Drosophila melanogaster: one gene and its partner. Changing the gene in region 1 together with any one later gene gives a genetic interaction. Each region holds a gene or a part of one and is shown in the gene's direction. Other genes may lie near its edges. The genes, in order: nolo and Oatp30B.

Region 1 (9,891 bases):
GGGGTTCTTTGGCTCAACAGCCACGCGCACCACAGGGGACACGGAGAACTTCATGACCTAAAAACGAAAAAATTTTAAAAGTCAATAATAAATTTGTATGCTGCTTAAAAAAAGAAGAAAATGAAAAACGCTGCAAACCTTCATGTTGTGGGCGTCCTTGAAGGTGGTAATCGTACCGGTCTTAACCAAGAACTGATCAACACCGACCAGACCGCAAATGTTGCCAGAGGGCACATCCTCGATGGCCTCGACGTAACGACCCATCATGAGAATTGTGCGCTGAATAGCCTTCTCATATAAGTCCTCCTTCTTGCCGGGAGTGTAGTTGGGGCCCATGATTCGGCACTTTTGCCCGGTGGCCACCTTACCGGCGAACACACGACCGAAAGCATAGAAGCGACCCTTGTCAGAGGTCGGTACCATCTTAGAAATGTACATCATTAGAGGACCATCAGGATCGCAAGACTTAACGGCGATAGCGGCCTCATCGTCATGGGGACCTTCGTACAGCATCTCCATGCGGTACTTCTGGGCAACCACTGGCGACGGCAAATGAATAGCAATCATCTGAAGTAAAGCCTCGCCGGCTGGCAGCCAGGTGCGCATCACAGTCTTCAGCAGAGCTTTGCCATCTTTGTCCTTGTCTTCATGCTTCAGAGTCACACCGATTTTCTCGAGCAAGGTACCTATCTCCTCCTTCTTGTAATTCATAATGGCATCGAACACCTTGTAGATGGGGTCCAGGATGTACATGCAGAACGAGCGTTTGTTGTCAGCCTCTTTCTGTTTCTGCCATTTCTTGGTCTTGGCGTTAAAGAAGTTTTCACCCCACAATCTGTGAAGAAGTTGAACGATTAATTGTGCCTTCAGATATTTCTTATTAACTACTTATCACTTAATGAAATGCTTAATGACCAGTTCAAATCGCTTATTTAAAAAAATAATTAATATTATTTTTCTGGAAATTTTGTATAATACAAAATGATTCATTTCAGCCAATAAATTTGTTGCAAATTTGATTTATAAATTTTAAGTCTTAGATATCAAAAATGACGTCCGAATATATCGATTTGTATAATATGAGGCCAAACAACAATTGATTTCAGATATATGAAGAAATTATGTGAACAATAAAAGATTTCTGTATACAATTTAAAAATAATTAGTGTAAGGTAACTGCCTTAACATGACTCGTTTGAACATTAGGAAAGCGGTCCCGAGTCAGCGTTTAAACAGCATCCGAAAGTTTATTCTTCTTCTATTTAAGGTCCACTTGTGGCGCCGTCAGCACGAGAGACTCTAAAAGGACTTTCCTTGCGGAGATGTCTTTCAAGAAGCCGCCCGCTAAGCGCCACACGTTTTGTGGTAGAAGTTTGAAAACATTTACAAACAAACTTGAGACATGACTCACCGGTTCATTAGCTTGACAACATCAATCTTGAATTTCTCGGAGTACATCTCAGAGAACTGCTTGAGGGTGAACGCCCAGCCGTGAAGCCCAGAACCGAAGCCCACTGATCCCTTAGAGGGATCCACGCGAACCTCACCCATCGGTCCTCCGTCATCGTTATAGGTGGCAATGATAACGTTTACGTTCTCGACGATGCGCTGGAAGGTCTGGTACAGCTCCTCGGCATCTAGTTGCAGCTCAAGCAGAGCGCGGTCCATTTTGTTCATGAATAGGATGGGCTTAATACGCTCAGCGATGGCCTGACGCAGCACGGTTTCGGTCTGGACACAAACTCCGGAGACGCAGTCTACAACAACGAGTGCACCGTCGGTTACACGAAGGGCGGCGGTCACCTCCGAGGAGAAGTCAACGTGACCGGGCGAGTCGATCAAGTTGATCAGGAAACCCTTGCACTCCTTCTCGCGCTGATCGGGGTGGGTAATGAACACCAGATCCTTTTCCTCCACCTCAAAGTACATGGAAATGGCACTGCAATAATGAAAGGCGGATTAAAAAAGCCGTGGGTGCTGGAACATGACTGGTCTTACGTCGACTTGATGGTAATGCAGCGCTCCTGCTCGTCCTTGCGGGTGTCAGTGAAACGAGTCTCACCAGCCTTGGCTCCGGCAATGATACCAGCCTTCGACACAAGGGAATCGGTCAGAGTGGACTTGCCGTGGTCTACGTGGGCAATCACAGACATGTTGCGGATGTTCCGCTTCTTGTCCATGAGGCCACGGATCTCGTCGACGGTGAAGTTGACCTGTAAAATAAATAAGGCATCGTTATGTACATATTATAACGAGTTTCCACTCGATCTATACACAGTGCTGATTTAAAAATGGCGTCCATACACACACTAAGTCTTCACAGTCGTGCAAAGGTCTTTGAGGTTAGATAAGAACTAAAAACCACAAATCACTCACTCGCGAGTATGGGCATCGATAAATATAGCAATATACATCTATTCCTTGGGTATTTCACAACAAGCACCAAACAGGATCACATTCTAGCCAAATTTCAATAGAAAATTGCATACGTCATTCCTAGTCTTTGTCTTGCATTTCACCATAATGCACACACACACAACAAGCAAACGTGAAAATATGTGGACACATCATTTCACCAAGTAATGGTTGAGACATCTGCACTTTTTGCACTGGGCATTAAAGATATTAATGCAGGTCGCCTCTAGGCCTTTTCTGTAGATATGGGGCTATTATTTCTGACTTTGGGCACCTACCATTTTGGATGTATGGAGATTTTCTCGCGGACCAAAAAAACACTACGCCTTTCAACGGCGTTTCGACAGGAAAGAGCGAGGCGCTGCAGCGACCATAGAGCTGGGACAATTCTTGATATTTTCGATAGTCGGAACCAGTAGTTGATCGATAGTAGTTCACGTGACAGATTCATCAGATAGTTATTTTGCATGTTTACTTTATAGTTTTTAAACTTTTATTTTACAGAATGACGTTTTCGTAATTTTCCACGTAATTTTCCGCGTCGAAATCGTGGTTGTTTATATAGCCATAAATAAATATTGCTAAGCACTATTATTAATTTACATACATCCGCTTAAATTTCTTCTAAATTATTTTTCTTAAAAATAATCTAATCTATATATATATATTTCTTTATCGCTTAAACTATCTTATGAAAAATAAACTTTAAGTGAAAGCTAGTTATATTCTCATTTGCTCATAGATGCCGAGCCTTTAAAGTTAACGACTTATGATAGTTTCGATCAAACGGCATTTCGAAATTCTACGCACGCAGTAATATTTAAAGTATAGCAAGCGAGAACGCTATCGTCGATTTTTACGACTATTAGATACCCATTACATAGCTAATGCGATTCTCTAGGAAAATATTTAAAAATTTTGTTGGCGTTGCGGTAGGAATTAAAAAAAGGTTTGAATTGTGGGCTTGAAAACTTATTGAGGTTTGTAGGTGTAAGAGTGGGTCACGCCACGGCATATCGACAGAAATTTGGCAGACAAATAATAAAACGAAAAAAATCAAGAGATCCGAAAGTCAAATTTTCCGACAAGAAGTTTCAAAATTTGTAAAAAATGCGGTGGAAGGTCATGGCGTAAGTGTTTTTGGTATTCATTATACCCGCTACTCGTAGAGTATAAGGATATCGTTTGTTCGTTGAATGGTATGTAACAGGCAGAAGGAAGCGTTTCCAACCATATTGCTCAGGATCAATAGCCGAGTCGATCTAGCCATGTCCATGTGTCCGCCTATCCGTATGAACGTTGAGATCTCAGGAGCTATAAAAACTAGAAGGCTGAGATGCCCACTCTAACGCCCTAAAACCGCACCATTAACCATTTTTCCAAATTTGTTCATAATTTTATTAGTCTTGTAAATTTCTATCGATTTGCCAACAACAAGATAATTATTTTATAAATTATGAAATATGGCGTTCGCATTCACACTAGATAAGTAATGGGTGTTTGATACTCAGGGAACTCTACTATAGCGTTCTCTCTTCTCTCCTTTTGCTCTAGCGTCACTTGAAACTTTCGAATTAGACGGCCTCATGTCACCTCTGAGTTCAGGTTCGTATCATTGATAAAGCAGCCTTGGAAACTCTACTCTACTGTACCCTATTCTCCACTTGCGATCCCGCTTATATCAGATATTTTATTTTTTCTAAAAAACGTGGAAAACTAACCAGGAACTAGAGATATTGGTCAATTGAAAGGAGGACAACAGTTGAATATTTTCAACCCGGGGAAGACAGAACGCCTAATTGGTATATTTTGAATAAAACTTTTTAATTAAACCATAGCCAAACACCTTTCCGCCCAAAATAATGCTTTGTTTACATACACGTACCATGTTGTCTCTCTTTTGACAAACGTTTTGATATTTGTTGATTTTTGTATTCGTTTTGTAAATTTCCATAAATTTTTAAAAATTAAACCACGTACATATTTGCCCACCGGTGCCCACGCATCAAATATAGAAATGGTTCGTGAAGCTGCTTCAAACTGTAGAATAGCTCTCTTGCTGAATTTAACAGCTTTCGGGAAAGAAAAGAGCTTTTTCTTTTTCTCATTATTGTGTTCCACATTAAAAAAAAATCACTCAAACAATACCCCTCACCACCTAGAACTCACCTCACTTACCCCTCACCAACCAGAACTCACCTCACTCGAATTCAAAAACTCACTCGTTCCAATGTTGCTGCAGCATTGTTGCTCGCATTTTGAGTCAAGCTCGTTCTAATGTTTCGGCAGCATTGTTGCTGCGCGAAGACGGCCGGCAAATGAAAATGATGACGACGCGGGCGAACAGTTTTCAAGTGATTTTCCGAGCTCGCGGGCTGTGCTAACGGTAAAGGAAAATTCAGTGATTGGGGACTTTCACGTTGCACAGTTGATGTATTGCTTTGTGCGCGACGGTGTTGTTGTAGTGCGAAAGCAACAAATATTCAAAAAGATTCAGTTAAATTACGTGATTAAGTGGTCTAGGATTATCCACTTAAAACCGTTTGCAAATATTATCAGTCACCTTTTGCTCAAAAAATGTAAAGTTAAACGTTTACCGACCAATTTGAGCCGAAATATTTAAAGTATACTTTATGTTGTGTTTTCGACAAAGTGAAAAATTATAATACTAGAAATTTACAAAATATGTGAAATGATATATATGATCGAAATAATATAATTTCAATAATAAAAAATTAACTTATGCTGACAAAAATTATATGTTTTATTTCTTTTCTTTACTTAGAACATACATTTTAATTACTCAATAAAATGTAACATTTAATATGAAACCAAAAGTAATATAAACAAAGCTCTATAAAAAACGACAGGCAAACCAACTATTATATAAATCATAATTAGAAACTACAACGCAGAAAAAGGAGCAATAAGCCTAAAATACTCTTAAACCGTCAAATGCATCATTTTGGAAAAGCATGTTCCATCGTTTTTGTCGCACGAAAAGTTAAAACGATACTTATTGTCCAACGAGTGGCAATTGCGTCAATCTAAATTTTAATTTAGTTTGAGTGTGGAAGCTTCCGATAAACTTGAAAATGGATCTTGGATTTTTATTAGATGAGCGAGTCAAGCCATTTAATTTCTGATTGCCGTAAGTCTGACAACTTTACTTGTCTACATACAAAAATCCTACTAAACTTTTAATTTTTATTCAGTTTTCTTATAACTTGCATGGTTTGTGAAGCATAGGTCGGTAGACCCACTTGATTAAGCTTCTATATTGTAAAGACTTGAGTTGAGAGAAAAACTGCCGAACGAAGTGCTTTTAAAAATGCAATATTTCTTTTGGGTCCTAAAGACTAAAATTAAGAGTTATCGAAAGCAAGGATCGTTATGCTAGATTTTACATTATTATCCCAACCCCCATTAGTAATTGAACTCAATCCATGTACGAAGTCCGATAACATCCAACAAAAGTATAGGAAACTTTATATGTGTACCGTCGAAGAGTGCATATTTTAGGTTTCGGACAAAATCCCAATAAAGATTTAATAAGAATACGAAATGCCCGGTCCCAATGTATTTTTGTAAAGCACACAATGAGACACAAAAGCTTAATAGGCCCAATCCGAACTCGGCACACGGGAACCAAGCAATGTACATAAGTGTTCACATATGTCGACAGTTCCTTAATAAACGGCAAATGCATAAAAAGGTTCCGACGACTCACACAATGTCGTCGTGCTTTTTAAGTAAATTGTAAAACATCCAAGAACAATTTTTGTTGAGCGTGGGGTGCTAAAACAAGTGTGAATAAGGTAATGCGGAAAAAGTTTGCAAAAAGTCAGCGACAGTGTAAAGTGCCGAACAGACTGTCGGTTGTATGGTTCGGGTGCATAAAAAACCAAGGTATGAATGAAAATTCAGCCAATGTGGAAAACGTCTTGACCGGGGGATGTTCATATGATTCTGCCGTCAAGTCCTGCCCGTACCCGTACCCGTGTGGTCACTTCACCCAGAACTTTTTTTTAACATCTTTATCAATTTGAGAAGGGCTTGGCAGGTGGAATTGGAAGGACTCAAAGCTTTCTATCAGAAGGTTCAAAGTGACAAAGCGAGTTTTAATGAGTATAACAATTTAACTACAAGAAGAATTCTGCTATACTCAACTTCAAGTATACAAGCAGATGTAGATTAATAAATTGAAAACAAGAAAGAATACTATAGTAGAGTTCCTCGACAATCAGATAACCGTTACTCAGCTAGTGTGAATGCGTACGCGAAATTTCTGGGATATCGGGGAATAAAATGAGAAAAAATTTACAATTTCTTCAAAAGTATGGGCGTGACCGGCTTAGCGGTTTTAGGACGTTACAGTGGGTGTGTTTTTTGCAAATTGATAAAAATTTACAAAACTAATAGAAATGTGAAAAATATCAACAATTTTTTTTAAAGTGCGGGTGTGGCAGTTTTGTGCTATTTCTGGACGTTAGAGTGGGAGTGGAAACATGAGCAAACAAACTTGGGCAGCGTCTTTGTCTCTGGAATCCGTATGCTTAATCTAAACCTTCAAGATTTTATAGTTCCTGAGATTTCGATATTCATACGGACAGATTTTCTCTCTTGCTTTTTTTTCGTTAAATTCTTGCTTCCAAACTGTCAGCACCATTTTGCTAGAAAGCAGGAGGTATTATAACCCGAATGAACACATTATATTTTGTACGTTGGTCCATTCGGCTGTACCATCGCGAAACAATCTTGCTGCTGAAGATACAGGGTGCGGCAACATAACTTCCTTTTTTTAAAATGCACGCTATTCAGTTAATTGATGTCATAGCGGAGCGATAGTGGTCCCATTCAAGAGGGGTTACTGCAAAGTTTTTCCCGCACGGCGGGAAGCACAGCGTGCATTTCGGTATCGCTTTAATTTAGCTCCGTTGGCTCACGTCCCAGACCGCAAATCAATTGTTTCATGGGTCACTACATTCAGGCAAACTGCAAGTGCGACAAAACGATGAACTGGAATCCCTCGACCCGTTAGATCGCCTAAGAACATTGAAGCAGTACGAGCGTCAATATTGCAATCCCCACGGCGTTCTGCGTCCAAACACGGATCTGCCTTTGGACTATCCGATCGTTCTGTGAGAAGAATTCTTCATGATGATCTTCATTTTCATCCGTATAAGATGGCGATAGTGCAGGAACTTTCAGAACGTAACTTATTTTGACGGAACACTTTCCAGAGCGCTTTATCTCATAAATATTTTCCGATGCCTAAAATAGTATTCAATGAGTTCTGAAGAAATAATATTATGCTGCCGCACCCTGTATAAGTGTTGAAGCTTATTTCGGTCATGATACTTGCAGCATCTGCTGTCTTCGGTGTGGGTCCATTGCAATTGGAGAGTGCCTGTGGAGTGACAAATCCCTATACGTCACTCAAGGAGCGAGGATGTGAAAAAGACTGGGTACGGCTAGGCTCCAGATATCGGCGACTGTGAATTGATCTATTTTTTGGTAGTCGATCTAGCTTTTAGTTAGAAAATCTGATTAAAAAACAAATAAAACTGTATCGCTTGATTATAGAATTATAGAAATCTGGCTTTTATTGGATTTATGGGTCAAATGACTAACAACTGTTTACAAATTGACCTTTGAAATTGTGTTCGGGTGCCTTTACTTTAAATAACTCACAAAATATTTAGTAGCAAGTAATAATTTATAGCGAATCACATGCACTTATTATTTATATTGCATATGTCATTAATAGTTACATCTAGAAGGCGTTGCTAGCTGAAACCAAAAAGTTTTGGCTGTTAGTGAAAAGTTACTGCTATCTTTTTGCTCTGTAAAAAGCGTGTCTTGTGTCGTATTTCTGTCGTTAGGCAAACATTATTACCTATATAAACTCATATATGTACATGCATATGTGCTTTGAATCGAAAAAGAAACTTCTTCATTTTTTATTGTCTAACCTTATTTTGACTTTCACGTGTCCCCCGTTGATGCTTGCTTATTGAATTTATAGTTCTCACATGGTTGTTCTCTAAACGAACATACGTACCCTCTACAGGGACTGCAAACTGCAATGCGGCGAGCAGAGATTGTCACAGTTTATAATTAATGGGAATTAACAACGGAAGCATATGATAAAAGCAATTACAGTTGAAGCGGTTATCGCACAGGAGAATATCCTTCAACATCGTTTTCTTCTCAGGCTTCCGAAAAAAGCCCAGAAATATTTGAATTATTTGAGTTTAAATTTTTATAATTATTGTTGTAATTATAACAGTTACTCGTTGAGTAAAAGGGCAACCGGGCATCGTTGAAAAGTATGTATCAGGTCAAATGAAGCGTTTCCGACCCTATATAGTATATATCTTTCTAATCATCATCAAAAGTCTAGTCGATCTAGCCATGTTTGTAAATCCATACGTCAAGTTTTTCCCCCTTACATTAGTTGTAATATCCAACATTCAAAAGGGATTTAAAGTAAGTCCAGCCGAGTCCATCAATGAAATGTACCTCATGTTGGAGCTTATTTAATTCTTGTTTAGATTAGAAGGTGTCGTTTTACTTAATAATTATTTAAGGCCGTTTTCGGGATAGGGCCTTGGGATTATGTTAACAAATTTGACCAGCAAAAAATGTGTATATATTTAGTGATGTACATGTCTATATTTTGAAATAATTGTACTTATACTTTGTTGCAGAAGAAAACATGATTACGAGACAAAAATGTCGGTGAACATGAACTGGACGTCTCCAAAAATATGGGCCGCTTTGTTTGTGGTAAGAACAATTTGTTGAATAAGTTAACTGAAAAACTTTAATGGTAATTTAAATATTCCACAATATTACAAATATATATTAGTGCAATATTTGTAACCTTGAGGACTTATTAGTAATTAGGTGCTGAAAATATCAGAAATCCATATTTTGCATTCAAAAAGTATTATGTCGAACTAGGTCGTTCATTTAGTTCAATCGGTGATTTTTTAAATTTTCTTGAAGGTGCTTCACAAAAAAAAAATGTTATGAATTTATTTCATACAATGCTGTCATTGAAAATTAATATTATTTATTCAATTTATGTGAAAAACACTTATACATAATAATAATAATAAATAATAAAGAGTTTACAACTATATTGAACTAAGTGAACTATCAAATCAAGTCAATGCATTGCAATGGTGAAGTGCATCGTCTGGTTGTATCATTCAAAAAATCCCCTTTTTTTCCTTATTAATTATTATAAATTAAGAACTGAAGAGTTAGTAGAATATTAACTTTTAAAGCTATTACTCGGAAAAAGCGCCTTTTCTACCCCATAAAGATCAGATTGAAAAAAAAAATAATTTTGGACACGGCCACAAGCTGTCTAAAACTTGGCAGTCTTTCGTTTCTTCTTCGATTTATGCTGGTCCTGACACATTTTGTTACGGATTTCGTGAAGTCGAAACATCAACCACTTCG
Region 2 (10,074 bases), about 12 Mb from region 1:
TTTCGACGATGCGTTGTCAATGGATCGGATTACAATCATCCGCCATCGGAGCTTGAAAAGATATACTCTAAGCCAGGCGCACCAGCGCCACCACTGATTCCGAATGATAATCTAAATAGCGACATGGCACAACTTACACAAGGAACATATCTCACACCTCATGCGCAGCGCATTCAAGAATTTCTCGTGGTACTGGCCATCTGCAACACGGTTATCGTGGGTGCCGCCCCTCATCGAGATATGATGAATGCCAGTGGGATTATCGAAGTGCAGCAAATAGGAAACAGTCCGGCGAATCTTAAGCACGGCAAGCAGCGACAGAAGCTGCTGGCCAGTAGCACAAGTACGACCACGACGACGACTATAATAAATGGACCTACGACACAGCCGCAGGTAGTGTCCATTCCAGCGGATCGTTATATCAGGCTGGCTGAGTCACGATCGGTGACTCCTTCTCCACCTCCCAATCTGCTTTTTGCGTTGCCGGCTCAGAGCCATCAGCCAACGCTTTCGCCTATCAGCAGCTCTGCTGAATCGTCACCGAATTCCGAGTCTGAATCACCATCACCGCCGATGAAAAACAAGTCCCTTTCCAACAGTATTTCGCCCACCGGCAGGGCCAAGGCAGTCATTAACTCCAAGATTACCAGTATAGCAACCTTTCTGAATGCCAAAACTCAGGGAAAGCGAATGAAGTTGCCGTAAGTTTCATTAATTATTGATTTTTTCAAAAGATAAATCTTAATTTTTTGCCATTTTTATTTCCAGTTCATCCAAAACGGGAACGATTTACAGAACCGCCGATGGGCGACCGCTCTACGAAGCCGAGAGTCCTGATGAGTTGGCCCTCGTGAATGCAGCCTATAGCTATGATTGCTGCCTACTTAATCGCAGTCCCAATCAGATTTTGGTCAGCATGCCAATGGCGGGAGCCACAAGAGAGTACGAGATACTCAAGGTGCTGCCCTTTGATTCCAGTCGCAAGTGCATGTCAATTGTGGTTCGACAGATTGGCAGTCAGGAGATTGTGCTGTACACCAAGGGCGCAGATAGCTCTATCATGCCCGTCTTGGTGCCTTGCTCGCATAACAGTCCCGAAGGTGAGTGGCACATGCATTATATACTTCATAGTGTTTCGATAATAAATGACCGATTTGATTGATTTTTAGGCATATTGCGAGAACAGACCCAGCAACTGCTAGATCGGTATGCCCGCGAAGGTTTGCGCATCCTAGTAATGGCCAAACGGACTCTGAACTCTGCCGACTATACGGATTGGTGGGCGCGGCATCAGGAAATCGAGATGTCGTTGGAGAACCGCGAACGAAGATTACGTGATTCATTCGCGAAGCTGGAAAGCAATCTGACTCTGTTGGGAGCAACAGGCATCGAAGATCGCCTACAGGATGGAGTGCCGGAGACGATAGCCTCGCTTCTCTCCGCGGGGATTTCAGTTTGGGTTCTGACTGGTGACAAGCCCGAAACGGCCATAAATATTGCCTACTCTGCAAAGCTATTTACCCAGCAAATGGAGCTCATAAGGCAAGCAAAATTATAAATTAAGAGTGCTTCCACAATGCCTTTAATTTTTACGTTGAAGTATCTAATTGTAATTCCTGCGTCGTTTTAGGTTAACAGCACGATCCCGCGATGCTGCTGAAACAGCCATAAATTTCTATCTGACTGATATGGAGAATGACAAGACAACATCCACGTTAGGCTATGGCCAGTCGTTAAGAAAGAAACAACGCGCATTGGTAGTGGATGGAAAGACCTTAACATTTATCCTTGATCCAAAGTGAGTTAGACACAAAGTGTGTTTTTATCCTCTTATTTAATTGCATTACCAATTTACAGATCCAAACTAATCCTGCCTTTTCTGCGGCTGTCTAAGCGGTGCGCTTCGGTACTCTGCTGCCGATCCACTCCGCTGCAAAAGGCCTACCTAGTCAAAGTGGTTAAGGAGGAGCTCAATCTGCGAACCCTGGCCATCGGGGATGGCGCCAACGATGTGTCCATGATCCAGATGGCAGACGTGGGCGTTGGAATCTCTGGTCAAGAAGGCATGCAGGCCGTCATGGCCGCCGATTTCACATTACCCCGCTTTCGTTACTTGGAGCGCCTACTCTTGGCGCACGGCTATTGGTGCTACGATCGATTGTCCCGCATGATTTTATACTTTTTCTATAAGAATGCTGTAAGTTTAAGATCTGATAAGATAATAAGGAAACTTTAAATCCTACAATAATCCTTTGTTCCAGGCCTTTGTCTTTCTGATATTCTGGTACCAGTTGTACTGTGGATTTTCTGGCCAAGTGATGATGGATCAGATGTACTTGATGCTGTATAATTTAATATTCACCTCGCTGCCACCATTGGCCATTGGAGTGTACGACAAGCGTGTGGCCGAAGATCTCCTGCTAAAAAATCCATATCTCTATAAAAATGTGAGTTAAGAAGCAAGTTGTATGCATAATCTATATGATTAATTATTGTGAATCCATTCGTTTTCAGGGTCGACTGGGCGTAGCTTATAGACCACACGACTTTTGGCTAATACTACTGGATGCCCTCTATCAGAGCCTGGTCATATTCTTCGTGGCGCTGTGCGCCTATGCGGAGAGTGATGTAGGAATCTGGGAGTTTGGTACGACGATAACGGCATCCTGTCTCTTCGCCAACCTCGTACACTGTGCCATTGAAATACGTTCCTGGGTGAGAGTTTATTCAACAAGGTTAATAAATTCTATGCATGCTTATTAAATTTTCGTATTTTCCCTTTCAGACTGTGCTGCATGTCTTATCCATAGTGCTTAGTCTAGGTTCCTTCTACCTCTTTGCGATCGTTTACGATTCTGTGTGCATGAATTGCTTCGGAGTCCGGTCGTCATACTGGGTCATCTTTGTGTGCTTTGCCTCCGCTGTTCACTGGCTAGTGATAATGCTCTCCACAGTGGTGGCAGTTCTGCCACGGTTAGTATGAAAATATATTTCGATTTTAAACGTTTAATTAATTTTTATTATTTTTACAGCCTGCTCCTAACAACAGTGCGCATTTCGTTGTGTCCCGACGACAGCACCAAAGTTATTCTGCAAAGCAAACGGGAGCGCAGCAGAGGTGAGGCTTTGTTAGTTACTTGGTCGCGCTCCACGTCAGCCTCATCAATCTATAGGTAAAAAGGCACAAAATACTTGATCTGCAAGCAAGTTGCAACTTTTTCATTTGCACGATTTGAGTATACCCTTTTGAGCATGTATTAGTTTGTTTTGATTTTGTGTCTTTTTATTTCTACATTGTTGCGCAATTCTTTAATGCAATTCGTATTTAATACAACAAAAAATTGATGCCGTCTTACAGAATCACCGATTATGGGTCTAAGAATCAGATTATAACAACGATTACCTGATTAAGCGCCAAAATGCAATTCTTCGGCTATCTCAGCGGCAACTAAAATAAGGAAGACGACTAGCAACCCCCAAAACTTGTACACATGTGCTTTCGCTCTTAATATGTGGCCTTCGACACCGATTATTGATAATATTGCGTTAGTTTAGTTAATCCACTTATCTTAAAAGTACTTAGTAAGCAATTCAAATAATTTGTTTAGCGAATGATTGAGTAAGCGCTTAGATTTCCGAGTTATCTATCTGAATATTAGTTAAACTGTTTGCCTTAACACTAGAATGAAAGCAATTGCACAATTGCATGTATGTCATAGTTTACATATTTATTTGTATAAAACTAGGGAGCCAGAAGTGCTCGAGAATTGAACCCAACCTAACCGACTATTGTTAAATAGAAGCGAAAATGCAATGCTTATTTATGTGTACGATTATTTAAACTAGCGACTAATAGATGTATCACCCTAACAGAAATACTTGACAATTCAAACACAACAGAACTCCATTGCGAGTTCGATGATAAGGCTGTGATTCTACACTCATGAAGGATATACCTAAGCATATGATATATATATACATACACAAACCTATAGACCTTAGATGTTAGTTGCATTGATTCAAGTATTGACAGAATTGTTTCTCACCTTCTGTTTCTTAGTTTGTTGTGTAAACAAGAACATTTTTTACTTTTTTATTGAGACCATGCAATGACAAGTTGTAATAATCGATTGTTGTAATCTATTAGTTGTACTAAACCAATTAATCTACTTGTAGTCCTCTTCAAAAAGAATACAATAAGATAAACTCTAAATGCAATTCGAAATTAACTGGGTTTGTTAAGAGAATGAATACCAGAGAGCAAAAATTGTTAGCTGAATATTTACATTGTTGAAAAGCAAGAAATCATTAAATGAAATAAATGTATATTTACCTACAAAAAAAAAACCGTAAAAATGTGTTTATTTAATGAGTTACATTTATGAACAAATTGTATTGATTGGAACATTCGGTGATCTAAGGAATTATATCAACGAATCTCAGCATTGCCTAAATTCGGAATGTTTTCCTTTTAACCATATATATATCTTGATAAACATTATGTATTTCTACAAGCATTTAAAAAATGGAATCTACATGTGTATATGTTTTAGGCTGTCGAATTATGTGGGTTTGTGCATCCACTATATGTCAAAAACAAGGTTTGAGTATAGGCTAAATCCGGAACAGTGATGAGAAAGAGAAAAGCCACAACGTTGTCTTATAAAAAATTATTGTTTTTCGCTGTAACATTTTATATTATAAATGTCGTTCTAATTTTGATCTTCCCTTTATATTAAATACATTGTGAATTCCACAAAAATTACAAAGTAGACTTGAAATAACGATATATCGACAGTTGTGCCATCCCTAGAACAATCGCTCTCTGTCTTTTCCCCATTCATTTTATCACCATTCGCCTTTTGAAATCCGAATTCGACGGATGGTAAAATTTTGAGCCGTTGAGATTGAACCGAACGAATTCGCGTCGAAGTGATTGAGCCACCTTTTTTGTTGCTTTCTCATGGCAGCCAAACGAAGAAGTGTTGAATTGATTTTGTGATACTTTCTCGACAGCATCGCTCCGGCGGGCAAGTGCGTGTGTGGGTGTGATCAAACATAAATAACGTGCAATTACGGGTCAGTAACCCAAACAAAGTGATAAGAGCGCAAGAGGTCCTTGATGAATACGAGTGTAAGGAGTGATAAAATAAAATCTCCTATTTGCCCTGCATGCGTGTGTGTGGGTGCTTCTCACCTGTTTGTATGTTTGTGTGTGTGCGGACATCTGTTCTGTCTCGTCTTCTTATGTTGCCGTCCGTGGCTCTGTCTCCCCATCTTCCTCCGTCCCTTTTCGACCAGACTCGTCTCGTCTCGCTCTACATAGCCACCAGGTAACGGTGTGTGTGGGGGATTACAGGGTTGCTCTCTCTCTCTCTCTTTCTCCATCTCTCTCTGCGTGGTAAACGTTTTGTTGTTCTTTCATAATGCAACAATAAATTATCCAATCGTGCCGCAAAAAAAATTTTTTTTGTAGATGAAAAAAATCATCGAAATTATATTTACATACATATGTATGAATGTTTATCCTTTTTCTGTAGACCAAATGCAATTTTATAATTTCGCAAAAACACTAAACAAATTTTCAATGTTCGAAGAGCAATTCAATGTCAGGAAAAATTAGTGTGAGAATGACAAAGACGATGGAATAGTTTTCTTTTCAGGGAGAGACCTGTTTTCCTTTTAAAGCACTTGTTACAGATTCCCTTTTTCCCCTCCCCCAATTTTTGTATCCCTTGCTCCCCCACTGAGTTTTCCTTTGTGGCGTTTTCTCGTGTTTTCTTCGTTGTTGCCTTTCAATTGATTTATTTTTGCATAATCGTTCATTGCCAGACCAAAGCAACTCATAAGCAAGAAAAAAAATATAAAAACGCACGCTAAGTACAATTGACACATGTGTTCAAGTATAGATATAGGTACAAATGTTGGTATATATAGTACTCACATAGTACGCACATTTTTACATTTATATGTACTATATGAGCGCAGATAGATGGTGGTATTTTTGAGTAATTTACAGTCATGCTAATCGCAAAATCATATTCCAATTGGAAGCCGATTCTAAGATATTTGTACTTCTACTCTCCGAGAATGATGCAGTACCTTCGAAATTAACTGTTGACCACCCGAAATTTGGTTAAAAAAAACTGGTTTTCCTATCTCAACTCGCTGGATATCTCACAGCTCTTCTAAAATAGAGTGTGACACGTTCGAATATACATATATTCAGTTAAATTATTAAATTAAATTAGTACTAATTTCATTTTAGCTAGCACTAAAGAAGTAAGAACACCGTGTTGCAAAATAATATAAAAACATTCACTTGTCCGTTTTTAATAACAATCAGACAGGTGTTCAGCTTTGTTTTTATCCGATTTTTCCTGCATTTACACACCTCAATGTGTGATCCCAATATTCGTATGTATGTCTGGTTTCATTTCTTGCGCTTGGCTGGCGCTGACGTTTCATCTCTTTCTGTTGCCCATCGTCCCTCTCACGCTCCCTTTTGCTGTTGGTAGCCCCAATTAGCTGGGTTTTCTTGCCAAATCTCAGCACGTAACAAAAGCAGGCGGGTAAAACACCAACATTGGGGTATAAACATAATCGGGTGATCGCGTTACGCTCTCTTTCTAACGGTGTTTGAGCTGGACTCTCTCAATCAAGCAAACGTAAACCGGTTAAAGCAACGTCTTATTGAAACTCTCGCTCTCTCTTGAGAGAGAGAGAGAGAGGGAGAGAAACAGATAAATCGCGCGATTGTTATTCTTCAATAAGTAAACGAAATTATCCAATAATTTTCAGCAAAACAAATATGTGCAATTTTAATGCGAAATAATTAGAGGGGAATCTCTTCGATTTGTGTGTGTTTACAAATAAATCAGCAAATGAATGTGCGAAATAATCTCAACGAACAGTCAAATTGAATGAAAAGTCGTCGGGAAATTTGAAGGCAAGGAGGAAACGCAAGGAAAGCAAACTGAAGGTGAGTCCTCACGAAAGTATTTGTTTTGATTTTGCAATTGTTTCGCTCGTTTTGACAACTTGTCAACGGGTTTTGCCAACTTCCCACACACATGGCCTATGAAATCAAGTTGTTGTTGGCATTGCAAATAGGCCGAATGACCAGATATTTATTACGTGACTTCTTTTTCGCCCAAAACCACTGGAACTTAACTGCCAATGGTGACGAAAATTGAAATCGAATCGACGAGTGTGTCACACAATATCAATCAAAGTCGCTGAAACAAAGCTTCAGCAGCTGAAACTGCAGTTCGATATAATGGAATGTTGAGTGCGGCGATGGGATAACTTTTCCGAACGTCGGAAAATCGACGGTGGGAAAATCGATTGCAAAGTCGGCGATTGGCAGGACTTAAGGGCTTCCTAACAGTAAAACTTTGCCCACGAGGGCATTCAACCTAAGCCGAAAATCAGGACCTTCGATCCCATTCCATTCGATTTGTGACACGATTTGTATGTTTTTTTTTGTGTAAGAGGTTACTTGTTGGTATGTTGTATGCCATAAAGTTAGTAAGCACTTTATTGCATTTAATAATAATTTATCAGATTCGCTTAACTATCTGTTTTTTGTATTTGTTTTAGTACGATTTAACAAATAATTTATACGATGCATTCAGCAGCTGCTGCCTTTGTGTGTTTTCCAAAGTCGTTAAAACTTTTCATATTGTTTCCCAATTCCTCGTCTATATCGCTTAATTCGTTTATACCAACATTCAATTCGCCATGCATTTGGTTTTATGCCCATTTGGATGAATGTATCTTTGTATCTTCGCCAGTGAAATGTTTTCGTCTTAAGCTTCGATTGCTTTGGCTTTTGTACAAGCGCTGAATGAGTTTTCACATATCGTCTAATTACGGCTTTAACCGAGCACTGGGTATAATTTCATTTAAAAGTCATTGGCGTAAATTTTTTCATAATCTGAAAGCTACGCGAGGCGTTGTTACATCATTAGGTACTTGAAAATTGATTAATTTTGTGTGAGACGGCGCAGATGAAGGGAATGGATAGTTCTGCAATTAAAAGGGAACGAAAATATCAATTAACTTTTTACACAACGTCGGCAGAAAACTTGAAGAAGTTGAGACGGAATGTTTACTTGGGCAAACTGTGAAAAGTGGAAAATTCCCCCCAATATGGTCGTTTTTGTTTACCGAGGGCACTTAAATGTTCTTTTCAAAGTAGCAATTAAAAAGTCGTAAAAAACGAACACACAAAGTACCCCAGAAATATTTGCAAAAAGTATACAGCTCAGCTATTTGTCCAGATGTTTACAGATTTGGTAAAGTACCTAAATAATATAATAGTTTTTTTTGGGAAACTGCACCATTTGGAGGAAGGAGTCATGCCAACTGAATCAAGTTTTTTAGGGTAACTAGACAAAAAACGCACGAAATTTCTCATTGACTCTTGTTTTCATTTCTCATTCTCAGGCGGAGAAAGCGGTTTTTTTTTTTTTAAACAATGCCAGTAAAAACAACGGCGATCAGAAATTATACAAATTTCGGTTGTATGGCGTCGTCGAGCAGAATAACAACAATGATAACCATTTTAGTAAATTCACCAAAAGTCGGTAAGAGAAAAGGCCCATCACAACGAAACTGGTGTTTTTTGTTTTTTTGTACGTTAGTTTTTTCTTCCTCGACTGCTCACAAATTGCGTTGAACAGAGATTTAGGGCCACCCATCCATTCATTCATTCATTCATTCATTCGTTCACCGACTCGTTCACCTATTTGTTTTATTTTTCGTGTGTATTTTTCAACTTTTCCTGTTGTAATTTTTTGATTGGTCTCACTGTGTCGCATGTTGGCGTTTTTAGGTCGGTTCCAATCTATGTGTGTGTGTATTTTTTTCGCCCTGCCTGCACACGCAAATTAAAGTTTACCCTAAATATATATGACTTTCCACTTTTCCCGATTTTTTATTTTCATTTCAAAACAATGGCAATTAAAGTTTCCATTTTGATTTAAGCATTTTTGGTGCTCCCTATCTATGCGATTTGAATTTAAATGTTGGCCTGAGCTATGTTTACTTTCTTTTTTATTTATAAATTCGAACCTGGATTTTTTTTTTGTTGGTAGCTTCTTAGCCGAATTTAATGAGCTGCTTTGGTGCAGTCATACATATTCACGAATCAAAAGCTATGCTAAAAGCTATGTTCCCATTTCTTTGTTAGACTCTTCTAAAGATTACTCCCATCCCATAGTTTCTTGGGTCGATGTTCGCCTTTAGATAATCCCGCCCTCTAGATTAAGTCCCGCCGTGAAGAAGTTATACAAACTGGCAGAAAAACAAACAAACAAGCGAGAATGTAAGGCCCTTTTCGGAAAAGTGATGCTGGGCGGTTTAGGGCGAGCCTAATATAATCCGATCTATCCCATCTGAAAACGTTTTTGATCTGAGGAGAGGTGGCACATACGTACATATGTACATATGTATGTACCATTCATGTGTGCTCTGTTGATTTGTCTTCATTATCAGCTCGTTGACTGTTTGCTTCTGATTCTCGGGTAAACATAGAGCAGACGACGTGGCCGTGATTGTTTGTAGTGTTTGCTTTTTTGTGGTAAAACTTATTTTTAATCTTCGAGCATACAGCGCGTTGCCAAGTCGCTCCTCCTACGGCATTTTCTGCCCTCCACTCTGTTACACCCCCCCGGAAACCACCATGGCGTATGAGTTATTTTCGTTTGTTCGATGGTCTCAAGTCGATCGGACGCTTTGCACATTTTATGAATGCCTTTGACATTCACACAGTAGTCCCCTTTCCAATAAATTACGATAGATACAACACACTTTTATCATATTTGGACTTTGATGGCAGTGGTTACTCATTCCTTGACAGAAAATCAATATAATAAGCTTTTATTTTGCTTATTTGTATTATCTTTAAGACTGAAATGTAAGATGTTTCTAAAAATAAAATACATGCAGTTTATTCCAACAAAAGTAGTCTACTATATATGTAGTCATATAAGGATGGGCATATTTTATTCAGGCACTGCAGCGTGTTTATCTCAGATATATTGACGCATGGCTCCTGTTGTGGCTTCC

The links.
Region 2: of nolo (region 1) and Oatp30B, changing one enhances a phenotype caused by changing the other (phenotypic enhancement), as found in Drosophila melanogaster (one study listed by BioGRID).

Annotation. Positions count from the first base shown.
Region 1 is NT_033779.5:21,679,346-21,689,236, forward strand, and holds the start of nolo (no long nerve cord), read left to right. Parts: upstream 1-4,760; 5' UTR 4,761-4,994; intron 4,995-5,200; 5' UTR 5,201-5,566; intron 5,567-9,128; 5' UTR 9,129-9,153; coding exon 9,154-9,207; intron 9,208-9,891. Other genes in the region: eEF2 (eukaryotic translation elongation factor 2), read right to left, coding at 1-57, 139-835, 1,412-1,939, 1,999-2,213, 2,694-2,696.
Region 2 is NT_033779.5:9,516,362-9,526,435, forward strand, and holds the start of Oatp30B (organic anion transporting polypeptide 30B), read left to right. Parts: upstream 1-4,848; 5' UTR 4,849-5,134; intron 5,135-6,801; 5' UTR 6,802-6,982; intron 6,983-10,074. Other genes in the region: CG33298 (uncharacterized protein), read left to right, coding at 1-701, 769-1,100, 1,170-1,542, 1,631-1,798, 1,858-2,197, 2,262-2,447, 2,515-2,715, 2,786-2,973 and 2 more.